Xenopus tropicalis: one gene and its partner. The protein of the gene in region 1 purifies or fractionates together with the protein of each later gene. This does not show direct contact. Links are inferred from orthologs where the notes say so. Each region holds a gene or a part of one and is shown in the gene's direction. Other genes may lie near its edges.

Region 1 (6,644 bases):
TTCAACTGACTGGTATGGGAAGTCCTCAGCATATATACTCTTCCACTAATCCAATCACAATGGCACTTTGTAACTCTTCAGAAAGGTGACATCTGAAACTCACAGAGGTGTGAATGCTGTGGAGTTACTTTGAAAGGATTACCAAAGTATCATGCAACTCTTCAAAGCAGGTGTTACTTGTTAGAGTTGCATGAATGGATGTGTGAAGAGTTCTGAAACTGCCGGGGTACAGATGTTAGAACAGCATTGTATGTAGCAGACAGATGGTGTCGAAGTCCCCCGCCTCTGTTTAGGGATGGTTTCTCCACTTTGACATGAATGGCCTCTTTTACACCTCTTTCGAACCAGCGGTCTTCATTGTCCAGAATTTGGACGTTGCTATTTTCAAAGGAGTGTTCCTTGTCTTTTAGGTGTAGAAATACAGCAGAGTCCTGGCCTGTAGTGTTCGCCCTCCTATGCTGAGCCATTAGCTTGGAGAGCAGTTGCTTTGTCTCACCAATGTAAAGGACTGTGCACTCCTCGCTACACTGGACTGCGTATACAACATTGCTTTGTTTTTCCTTTGGTGTTGGATCCTTTGGGTGTACAAGTTTTTGTCTCAGTGTGTTGCCAGGTTTGAAAAACACAGGGATGTGGTGTTTGTTGAAAATTCTCCGGAGTTTCTCCGACACTCCTGCTACATATGGGATGACTATATTGCGCCTTCTCTCTGCCTCAGGACGGGTATTCCTTTTGGTGTTCCTGTTGGGCTTAGTTGCTCTTGTTTTGACAAAGGCCCAGTCTGGGTAGCCACAAGCTTTCAGTGCTCCTCTGAGATGTTTACATTCCTTGTCCTTGGACTCTGTATCAGTTGTTACACTTTCCGCCCTGTGGTGTAGAGTTCTAATGACACCCAGTTTGTGTTCCAGCGGATGGTGAGAATCGAACAACAGATATTGATCCGTATGAGTGGGTTTCCTGTATACGTCTGTTTTCAAGATACCCCCCTCTTGAATGGATATCAAACAGTCCAAAAAAGCAAGTTTGTTCTCATGGACATCCTCCCTTGTGAACTTGATGTTGTCGTCCACTGAGTTAATGTGTTCTGAAAAGGCTGCCACTTCGTTGGATCTGATTTTAACCCACGTGTCATCTACATACCTGAACCAGTGACTTGGTGTAGTTCCATTGAATGTGAGTAGGGCCTTCCTTTCCACTTCCTCCATATACAAGTTTGCTATGCTTCCCATACCAGTCAGTTGAACTGAAGAAGCTGCTCGGATGAGTAGTGAAACGTCTTCAATGATTACTTAACAAGTCCAGTTGCTTTAGATTGATTTATACTAGATATACGTTTAAGTTAGCTATATATTATGTGTTTGAATGTTCTATTTAAAACAACTATTTAATTGTTCTGCATTTTTAACAGTCTTGTAATTATTTACCTACCTTTTCTAGCTCTTACTATATTTCAAATGGAGGTCAGTGACTCCAGTAACCAAAGAACTATTGCCTGGTTAACTACTGCCTAGTTCCTATGGTGATTCGGTCCCTAGCATCCAGATAGCTGCTGAAATTCCAAACTGTAAAGCTTAAAGAAAAAATGCTAAGTAATCCAAAAACTTTTAAAAGCTACAACATATTAAAAGTTCATTTCCAGATAAACTAGCCCTTTAAACAGTTTGAGGAGAGCTGAGCAAGTTGGCTGTAGCTCAGTAATGCGGAGTAAAACTACACAAGAAGATGTGTTTGGGAAGCAGGAGGTTTGCACGCTTGGTGCCACACACCTACATGTTGGGTGATTCTGGGAGATGTACAAAGGTGGAAATTAGAAAAGCGTAAGCAACACTGAGTTGCCCTCACCTCTCCACCAGTAGGTCTGTGACAGGACATGCCATGTTTGATGCCGGGTCAGGTGCTCCCCTCCGGTGCCTATGTGCGCCGCTTCTATCAGCCCCTTCCTGCGCTCAGGTTGTAACACGACTTCCAGCTCGGTGAATCCTTCTTTATCCCTTAGCTTGCGCTGGTAATAAAGAGTGCCCGCCCTCACCACATAACAAGCAGCTGCCTTACGGATCTTCCGCTTAGCGTTCCCCTCTGTGCCCGGGGCATAAGGCTCCCGCTCATTGGTCAGGTATCGCAGTATCGCCAGGTAGCTCTCCTCGTTAGACATCCCTGGTAGGGACTATTTAGATAAATTTACTGAGAAACACCTTCCTCGGCTCAAGCGCGCCCTCCCCCGGCCCACCCGTTGCACTCCGGGTGGGGGCTCCTCAGTCCCGCTGCCTTCTCTATCCCCGTTCAGTGTTTGTATCTAAAATTAACACGAGGAACTGCAAGGCTCGGAACGTCTGATGGACTCCTCGCAGAAAGACAAAATGGCTGCTGCACCAGCGGAAGTGACATATGACCATAAGGAGAGATGTTTGGAATCGGAGCGAAGCAAGAGCTGCCAGTGACAGGAAGTTGCTTTCCTTCAGCATTAAACCGGAAGTTACTGGGTTTTGCCCATTTGTATCTTGTTCGTAGTGAATTTCAAAGCTGCAAATATAAACCGATTAGGTTAGGTGCAAGTGGGAAGGGATCAAATCATTCCTCCGCTTTAAGGCGATTGAACGGTGCAGGTCAGTCGTGGGATAGATATGCAACGTATTTAATTCTAAAGCTCAATAGAAATCTGCTGCTTCTTGGAGATTACACATTTTACTTATCTCTGGAAAATGGTGTACTATAGTAAGGTGGGTTGGGAAGACTGTAGCGCTTCTTCAGTTAGGTTTACGCTAAAGCTTGGATCTATGTACATCTACAGCTGGGCTAACAGACTGTTAGATAACGAAAGGTCCATTACCTTTACAAATCACAAGCTAAAATCCTTATTAAAATTCTTCTCCATCAGTTACTTCCTAGACTGGTTTAAAGCAGAATATATCCAGTCAAATGTTACATAATAAATAAATGAATGATTGTTGGATGAAATTTAGGCAGCAATCCAGTTGCATGTTTATATGAAAACTTTGTGCAGTGTGTATATCTGAATAGTAAAAAATATTACATGATAACACTTGTTCTGTGGGTGATATGATCAATCGATATGTGCCATGTTGTTGGGAGAGTGGACCTTTATTATATAGAAAGAATGGCTAAATAATGTTTTATTCTGTCTATAGTTGGGATATCTCCAGTATATGCAAAATTCTGTGTGGATTGCACAGAGAACAATTTTTAAACCTTATACAGTGAAACCTTAATCATACCCTAGATTTAAGTTTTCCCTCATTTTACACTGTTTTTTGTGGTCCCACCAATATAAAAAACATAATAAGTTTTAATATGAAGCCCTGATTTTTAATTTTCCTGGATTTGACACCATTTTTTTGGTGCTCCTGAAAACCATAAAATTAGGGTTCTGCTGCATTTGGAAAGAATGTTTTCTCTTTAGCATTTTAAGAGAGATGAGAAATAAAATGAAGGATTTTTTTCCCAAGTGAGGTTATGTTGTGGGTGTTTATAAATGTACATGTGCATATTATCATCAAATAAAATGATGCAATTGTTTTGACACTTGTGGGCCATTGTCACAGAAGCATTCACACAACATTTAGTTCACAGAACTGAAAATTCTTTATTGTTTTGCAATCCACAGAAAAATGACAACACAAATTAAAGACAAAGAAGCTTTTCAGAGACTTAATTTTCTATACCAGGTAAAGTAAATAATTTCAGATAACGGGACATGCAGTGCCAGTAGATGGAACTATATAGATAAACAGGACATCAAGCCAGCCTGCATTTTCTGTTTGAAGTAGTTTTTAATTTGTTTTTTTTTTTAAATGTATTAAACATTTTGAGTCATTTTACATTTATTTGTAAATGAAACAATCTATTAGAAATCACCTCCATCTTTCTCCACAGGTCTGTTATGCACAAAACCTGCAAAGTATTCTGTTAATTTGAGTTTTGGCTGGAGCAGTAGTCAAGACCAAAGAAAAGTCAGACAGATACTGTTTTAAATAGCTATTACATTTACAAATAAAACCAGGAAATTTTTAAAATAAATGTTAAGAAGGGGAAACTTAGAAATGTTCAAGGCATTGAGAGGAATAAAGTCTTACCTGGTAGGGTGCTAAACAGTGCTACATTGTTTTAGTGGTACATGTAGTCAGAACCAGCAGTGCAGAGAATAGCATAGCACAGACAAATACTGCTTTAAATTACCATTACAAGCAATGTTTAATGAGAAGGAAATGCATTTTGGCATTTTATAGCCAATAGATTAGTGTTCTAGCTTGCACTATAGTGACTATATTTATTCTGCAGAAAGCTTTACCATAGAAGCTCCCTCTATTTGGATATCAGCTGCTATTTTAGCTTGGTTTGACTTCACTTTCCTAGCTGCACACTGCTCCCGCAACAGCTCTAAGCTTAGATTACAAAACAGACAGAGGAGGGGTAGGAGGAGAAGGGAGGAAGATAGAGGAGCAAACATGTATACAGAATAAAAGGAAATAAATGTGTTTATTTTCACTGAGGATTCAGAGCAGCAGTTCTGTAAGTGCTTATGATAAAGCTTGCTTAGTTTATACCTTTCCTTCTCTGTTAAAATTTAAAAAAATAAGGCAATATGTTATTAAGCTATATTGGAACGATGTTTTCATAATACAAAATTTTATATGTGGTTTTACAGCTACATCGAATGTAAGTTATAAGTATTATAGATAGCATTTTTGCCCTTTAAAAATGAAATTCTATGTACATTTTTTTGTTCATTTCCCAAGGCTGCACATTGCGTTTTGGCTCAAAACCCAGAAAATGTAGAGCTGGCTAGATTTTACTGCCATACTGAAAGAATGATTAGCAAACGATTGGTGTTGAGACAGTAAGTTTCTTTTTTTTTTTTTTTTTTTAATTATATTACACTGGTCTGTGTGCCATACTAGAGGTGCTAAGTACTAAAAAAAAAAAAACACAATTTGCTTGTTTTTTGCCATAAGAAAACAATGGGTTTTTTTCTAATCCTTTTATGTCTGCTGAAAGTTTGTGTACAGTGTACTTTGTACCTGCACTAGGTGTAAATAATGGAAAAATAGAGGCAAAAGATTTGAGCCTGTTGGTAAATGTGCAAGTTGCATCCTCATCTTTATGGGCATAATAGATGCAAAAATTTTCACTATAATGTTATAAATCAGTTTTATGCACCAAATCCAGTACTTTGTTTAGGATTCAGCCACTTAGGGCAGATTTATCAAAGTGTGAAATTAGAGTTGCTTTTTAGATATATATCTTTTTATAGGGACCCATCTGTCAAAAGAACTATTTGTAAAAAATGCAGCTCTCTACTTATATCTGGTGTGACTTCAACAGTGCGACAAAAAAGTAAGTAAAATCTGCTTAGTTACTTATTAATATTGAGTTAACTAACTAGTTCCAAATCATAGTAATAATCATAGCAAATGAATAATAAAAAGATTAGAGCTAGTTACCAACAGTTTTCTTAGATATCACCACATTTCACTAAAGCCATTCTCTGTTAAAGGAACAGTAACACCAAAAAATGAAAGTGTATAAAAGTAACTAAAATATAATGTGCTGCTGCCCTGCACTGGTAAAAGTTGTGTGTTTACTTCATAAAGTCTACTATAATTTATATAAATAAGCTGCTGTGTAGCAATGGGGGCAGCCATTCAAAGGAGAAAAGGCACAGGCACATAGCAGATAACAGATAAAACACTATTGTATTCTACAGAACTTATCTGTTATCTGTTATGTAACCTGTGCCTTTTCTCCTTTTTTCCAGCTTGAATGGCTGCCCCCGTGGCTGCACAGCAGCTTATTATATAAATGATAGTAGTGTTACTGTAGCAAACACACCAGTTTTACCAGTGCAGGGCAACAGGACATTATATTTTTATTACTTTAAAGCTCTTTCATTTTTTGGTGTTACTGTTTCTTTAAGGGCAAATTTAGTAAATAAAATTAAAATCCATTAAAAGCAGAATACCAGTGGAAAGCAGTAAATTTACTTTAGAGTTGCTTTGATGTATGATCCATTGCAATATGCCACTGAAATTCTTTCTATATAGGATAATTGGTACTGAAGTAGCCTTAGGCTCTGCTTACTTTTGCTGGAATTTCTTCATTTAGTTTACCCTTCTCCTTTGCCTACTCACAAAGATAACTCTGTAATTGTCCTTTGTAAGCATTTTCATGTTTTCTGGCATTTCTTATGCACTAGATAACTTAGGAGTGTCCAATCTTTACTGCTGTAGGGGGTTTACATTTAGTAACTGTTGCTGTGTGGTTTTTATATTCAACTGAACAATATTCAATTATCTTTCCACCTTTCACGTGTTCTCCAGCCTGACATAACTGACCATATACCCTCAAGTTCATTGATTTAGGAATCTTCTTTTTTGCTAAACCTTGTAACCCTGAGCCTATCTACTATTTTCCAGTGCTTTGATTTTTGCTACGTCTGATCTGAAAAATGGTATAAGGTGAATTGACTGCCATGGTGGCTGTTGGGAAAGCAGTAAATGAGATTAATCATCTGTCTATGGCTGATCCTGGCTGTCAAGGATCAGTTGGACACAATCACTTCACGACCAGTTCTCGGTTGTCAGAATGCCCAAGGAATACCAAATTTGCCAGTCAGTGAACACAAATTG
Region 2 (5,970 bases), on another chromosome or scaffold:
AATTTGTAAAAGAAGACTTTATAAATACATTTGTAAAGAAAGGTAAGATAATAACTTGTTTTTTTATATGACCATGGAACTCCTCTGTGACTTATCATATCCATATATTTTACAGGAAAGTTTTGGTAATTTAAAATTTAGATACAGTGGTGTGAAAAACTATTTGTCCTGATTTCTTATTCTTTTGCATGTTTGCAAAAGAGGGTTTTTATTATTTAGGGAGAAAAAAAATCCAAACCTACATGGCCCTGTGTGAAAAAGTAATTGCCCCCTGAACCTAATAACTGGTTGGGCCACCCTTAGCTGCAATCAAGCGTTTGCGATAACTTGCAACGAGTCTTTTACAGCGCTCTGGAGGAATTTTGGCCCACTCATCTTTGCAGAATTGTTGTAATTCAGCTTTATTTGAGGGTTTTCTAGCATGAACCGCCTTTTTAAGGTCATGCCACAACATCTCAATAGGATTCAGGTCAGGACTTTGACTAGGCCACTCCAAAGTCTTCATTTTGTTTTTCTTCAGCCATTCAGAGGTGGATTTGCTGGTGTGTTTTGGGTCATTGTCCTGCTGCAGCACCCAAGATCGCTTCAGCTTGAGTTGACGAACAGATGGCCGGACATTCTCCTTCAGGATTTTTTGGTAGACAGTAGAATTCATGGTTCCATCTATCACAGCAAGCCTTCCAGGTCCTGAAGCAGCAAAACAACCCCAGACCATCACACTACCGCCACCATATTTTACTTTTGGTATGATGTTCTTTTTCTGAAATGCTGTGTTACTTTTACGCCAGATGTAACGGGACACGCACCTTCCAAAAAGTTCAACTTTTGTCTCGTCCGGTCCACAAGGTATTTTCCCAAAAGTCTTGGCAATCATTGAGATGTTTTTTAGCAAAATTGAGACGAGCCTTAATGTTCTTTTTGCTTAAAAGTGGTTTGCACCTTGGAAATCTGCCATGCAGGCCGTTTTTGCCCAGTCTCTTTCTTATGGTGGAGTCGTGAACACTGACCTTAATTGAGGCAAGTGAGGCCTGCAGTTCTTTAGATTTTGTCCTGGGGTCTTTTGTGGCCTCTCGGATGAGTTGTCTCTGCGCTCTTGGGGTAATTTTGGTCGGCCGGCCACTCCTGGGAAGGTTCACCACTGTTCCATGTTTTTGCCATTTGTGGATAATGGCTCTCACTGTGGTTCGCTGGAGTCCCAAAGCTTTAGAAATGGCTTTATAACCTTTACCAGACTGATAGATCTCAATTACTTTTGTTCTCATTTATTCCTGAATTTCTTTTGGATCTTGGCATGATGTCTAGCTTTTGAGGTGCTTTTGGTCTACTTCTCTGTGCCAGGTAGCTCCTATTTAAGTGATTTCTTGATTGAAACAGGTGTGGCAGTAATCAGGCCTGGGGGTGACTACAGAAATTGAACTCAGGTGTGATAAACCACAGTTAAGTTATTTTTTAACAAGGGGGGCAATCACTTTTTCACACAGGGCCATGTAGATTTGGAGTTTTTTTTCTCCCTTAATAACGTAAACCTTCATTTAAAAACTGCATTTTGTGTTCAATTATGTTATCTTTGACTAATAGTTAACGGTTTTTGATGAGCAGAAACATTTAAGTGTGACAAACATGCAAAAGAATAAGAAATCAGTAAAAAAATAGTTTTTCACACCACTGTATATACAATCTATAAAAACTATATATTAAATAAAATATTCATTTCAAGGAGAAGGAAAGCCTAAGTCACTTGGGGGTGCCAAAATGTTAGGCACCCCCAAGTGACTTTAATCGCTTACCTTGTACCCCGGGCTGGTGCCCCTGTTAGGAGAAAATAGCACCAGCCCGGGGTACCTGCAGCGTACCTGCAGCTTTTCACTCTAATGCACATGCGCCGGCCCAGGGATTTCGCTGTGGAAGAAGGATGCGCTCACTACAGGTACCCCGGGCTGGTGCTGTTTTCTCCTATCAGGCACCAGCCCATGGTACAATGTAGGCGAATAAAGTCACTTGGGGGTGCCTAACATTTTGGCTTAGCCTTTCCTTCTCCTTTAAAGCCAAAATATTTTTACTTTTGCAGACAAATTGCAAAAAACTATGTGTCAAAGCTTTCTTACCAGGAATATTTTCAGCAAACTAATGTATTTATCAAACCAAAATGTGTTCGACTGCGTTGAGCAGTGGAGCAGCAGAGTTAAAGGAGAAGGAAAGGTAAAAAACTAAGTGAGCTTTATCAGAAAGGTCTATGTAAATACAGCCATAAGCACTCACAGAAATGCTGCACTGACTTCTCTGTGAAAAGATTTCTTGTGTCTGTATTTCATGTGACAGACACGCAGCTCTCTGCTGTCTCCTCTCTCCTGCAGGAGAGTCAGGAAGCTGACTCATAGGGGCACATTTACTAATCCATGAATCCGAATGGGAAAAATTTGGATTGGAAACTAACATTTTGTGACTTTTTCGTATTTTTTGCGATTTTTTTTGTCGCCGTTACAACTTTTTCGTAGCCGTTACGACTTGCGCGAATTGTCGCGACTTTTTCGTAGCCGTTACGACTTGCTCGTATATTGTTGCAACTTTTTCTTATTGAGCGCTCGTAAATGGCGGGCAAACCTTTCAGACTTTGCATGATTTTGGAAGCCTCCCATAGGACTCAATGGCACTCTGTAGCTCCAACCTGGCCCAAGGAAAGTCACGATACTGAAGCTTGAATGAATCCAAAGCTTTTGTACTCGGTGCGACAATTCGCGCAAGTCGCAACGCTACGAAAAAGTCGTAACGGCTACGAAAAAGTCGCAACAATTTACGAAAAAATCGCAAAATACCGATCATTACGAAAAAACCGCATTCGGACGCTTTTCGGACGTTCGTGGATTAGTAAATGTGCCCCATAGTCTAACTAACTGAGCATGTTCACTTGGTCTGGGTGTCTGTGCAGGAGCGAAGCATTATGTGAACTTTCTTTACACAGCTCAGTGTTTTTTCTTCCTGTTTGGCTTCTGATCATCTGTATGGGGAGATTTAAGGTCACTATTTGAAGAACTGAAGGTATGCCTGCAGCTTGAGATTAACTCTTTATTAGCCTTTCCTTCTCCTTTAAGCTCTATCTCTTGTCTGAATTATTGCTCCTCATAGCTTATGTTCAAAAAGAAAAGATTTGTACAAACATTTTCCACAATGAAACATTATTACAGACCCAAAAATAATTTGTTGAAATCTAAAAGTGTTTGTAAATCTTATTTGTTTTTTTTACAGGGGCATTCTATGCACTTACATATAGAACAAGGATTGACCAAGATAATAGTGCAGCACTGTTGCCAACAGGTAATGTTTCTGCGTCTTTTAATTGTCGAAATTCCCCCAGGAGAAAATTTGTGTGACATGTCTATATATGTATATATGTCTTGTATTTTTATTTCCTTACAAATAGCACAAGATAAATAATAAGTTACAGCACCAGAAGTGAATTATTTAAAAAAGCTGGCCATACAGATTGGATCTGCTGATTTCAGACAGGTCATAGGAAAGTTTTTTTGACAGGCATAGATGTTCTGTTGTGTTAACCAATTTTTCAGTCCTCTGATGCACCATGCAGTTAAAGGAGAAGGAAAGGCTAGTAAAGAGTTAATCTCAAGCTGCAGGCATACCTTCAGTTCTCTCCCCATATTTCACCTGTTCAGAAGATCAGAAGCCAAACAGGAAAAATAAACGCTGAGCTGTGTAGAGAAGATTCCCATAATGCCTCGCTCCTGCACTGACACTACGACCAGATCCTTAGCTTGCACATGCGCACACAGCAGAACATCTGGTTGCCATGGCGACCCAGAAGAGGACACAGGAGCGGGAGGGGGGGTGGTAGGTTGTGGCAGAAGGGGGAGACAAATGCAGGCAAAAATATGAAGGGAGATCAGGGTGCAATATAAAAGTGCATTTTTGGAGGGGGGGTGGCGGCCGGTGGTTGTGAGCCGCCAAGTGCAATCAGAGCAGGAAGGAGGGGGGGTTGTGAGCCGGCAGGTGCTGGACAAGATGGCGGCACCGTTCACTGAAACAACTATGTAGTTTCTAGTATGTGAATCTCTGTAAATCTTTCATTAGGCAAGCCAGAAATATAGCGTTTTTACACAGCAATAGTAGTACTATTTAATAGTGTGCTTAATAGATTTTGACTTTCCTTGTCCTTTAAGTATGTGGTGCATTTGCAAATGAGGAAGAACCAAAGTTCTTGTTTGCTTTCTTCAGTTATAATTGTTCTGGCCTGATGACCAGTGGGATTATAGCCATATGTGTGTGGCCGCTGGTAAGATATCAGTCAGCTTAGGCCAAAGATCATTAGCAAAAAATGTATTAATTATCTGTGAAATAAATTGATGGTTTTGGCTTTTAGGAATGCAGTTTTTCAGGTTATGGTATTTAGATTTTTTTTCTCAGACCCTTTCTTGAGTTAAATGAGAACTAAAGCCTAACTAAAGAAGAAGGGCAAAAATGTTGTACATTATATTTTGGGCTTCTATACCAACCCAAGACAACCACAGCTCTTTAGCATGGAAGATCTGTGCATCTTTAGATGACCTCAGTGGCTTACATATGTACATCTGTACATACAGAATATAAATGTCACAATATAAGGCTAATTAGTAATTAATACAGATACAAGGAGCATCAGACTTTAATAATCAGCCCTGTAGCATCAGCTTATATGACAGACAAACATCATATTCTGTTTGGTAGTTTGCAACAAACCCTTAAGCTTACCTTCTCAACAGTTGCTCAGGGCACACTGAGCATGTGAGTGTCACAGACACTTTTCAAGATGGGGAGCTCCTGTGACAAGTTTAGCTAGTGAGGTCCTGAAACTTAAGGCTGGTGCAGTAAGTACAGTATTTAAAATATAGGATTTTTTCCCATATTCATTTTTATAGTTTAGCTATCCTTATTTAAGTTGCAGTGTTTTATCTTCTGGAGGAGCACATTTGGACTTCTAAAATGCTTGACAGGGTCAGAAGGGGATTGAGGATGGTGTTGTAGTTGGTAAATGCACCCAGCTTGTTTGAAAAAAAATGAAAATTGGAAATTTATGGCAGCTCACTCTTTCAGTGGGAATAGCAACTTGGTAGATATTAAAGGAGGCCAATTGGTTAAAGAGCTCTATTTTTGATTTCCATAGGAAAGCTAATTTTATCAGTAGACAAAGACACCTATGAGGAACTGGGTCTTCAAGGCAAACCATCCCTTTATTCTGGTAAAAACCCTCTGCGATACAGTAAGTATTTTATTCTTATCTTTATAGTTTTTCTGTTACTGTTTTTTAAGTAATTGTAAAATACATATTAGTGCATGTCAGCACATATGTGTTTTTCTGGCAATTTGTTGCAGTAGATAGGGAAAATATACGACTGCCCTCATTATTAAGTTTTATTCTTAATCGTGCTTAAAGGACAAGGAAATGTGAATTCCCTGGGGTGCTGATATAGTATGCCATTCATCTTAAAGGAGAAGGAAAGGCTAGTAAGAGTTAATCTCAACCCCCATAAGTGCTGTTCTGTGCCATGCACAGCAAATTAAATTATATTCTGCCTTCAAGGTGGCACCGTTGATACTTTTTCTCATGTCCAGCTGATATCATGGAGCACATTAGAATGGTTTCATAGGCTGGAGCTGTGTATGAAGACAACATATTGTCAATTGCATGACATGAAGCTTGCCAAAATCTTGTAGTATCTTTTAGCTAGACTTTTGTCCTTAGGACTTGTTATCCCGACTTCATGATATTCTAAGCGCCTCTCTATTGGAGACCGAAAGCATTGTTTATTACTGTGCAAGGGGGGGGGACTGGTTTTGTGCTTTTCAGCAACACCCCTATAAGTGCTATTCTGTGGCATGCACACCGGCAGACGGCAGGGCGGGGATCAGAGCGGGGGGAGGGGGGGTTTGTGTGAGCTGGCAGGCGGCAGATGCAGGAATCGGAACGGGGGGAGGGCGTTT

Evidence for each region. Proteins that work in one complex are often made in the same cells at the same time.
Region 2: the proteins of rpp21 (region 1) and rpp40 purify together in Homo sapiens (co-immunoprecipitation; 3 studies listed by BioGRID and IntAct, counting the BioPlex papers as one, with this or other methods). This does not show direct contact. The link is inferred for Xenopus tropicalis from reciprocal best matches to the Homo sapiens genes RPP21 and RPP40.

Annotation. Positions count from the first base shown.
Region 1 is NC_030678.2:105,110,595-105,117,238, reverse strand, and holds the start of rpp21 (ribonuclease P protein subunit p21), read left to right. Parts: upstream 1-2,501; 5' UTR 2,502-2,603; exon of another isoform or gene 2,604-2,717; intron 2,718-3,622; 5' UTR 3,623-3,626; coding exon 3,627-3,683; intron 3,684-4,754; coding exon 4,755-4,855; intron 4,856-5,269; coding exon 5,270-5,352; intron 5,353-6,644. Other genes in the region: zbtb11 (zinc finger and BTB domain-containing protein 11), read right to left, coding at 1,843-2,152. UniProt on the Homo sapiens protein: Component of ribonuclease P, a ribonucleoprotein complex that generates mature tRNA molecules by cleaving their 5'-ends.
Region 2 is NC_030682.2:88,076,829-88,082,798, reverse strand, and holds part of rpp40 (ribonuclease P protein subunit p40), read left to right. Parts: coding exon 1-42; intron 43-3,243; coding exon 3,244-3,312; intron 3,313-5,152; coding exon 5,153-5,248; intron 5,249-5,970. UniProt on the Homo sapiens protein: Component of ribonuclease P, a ribonucleoprotein complex that generates mature tRNA molecules by cleaving their 5'-ends. Also a component of the MRP ribonuclease complex, which cleaves pre-rRNA sequences.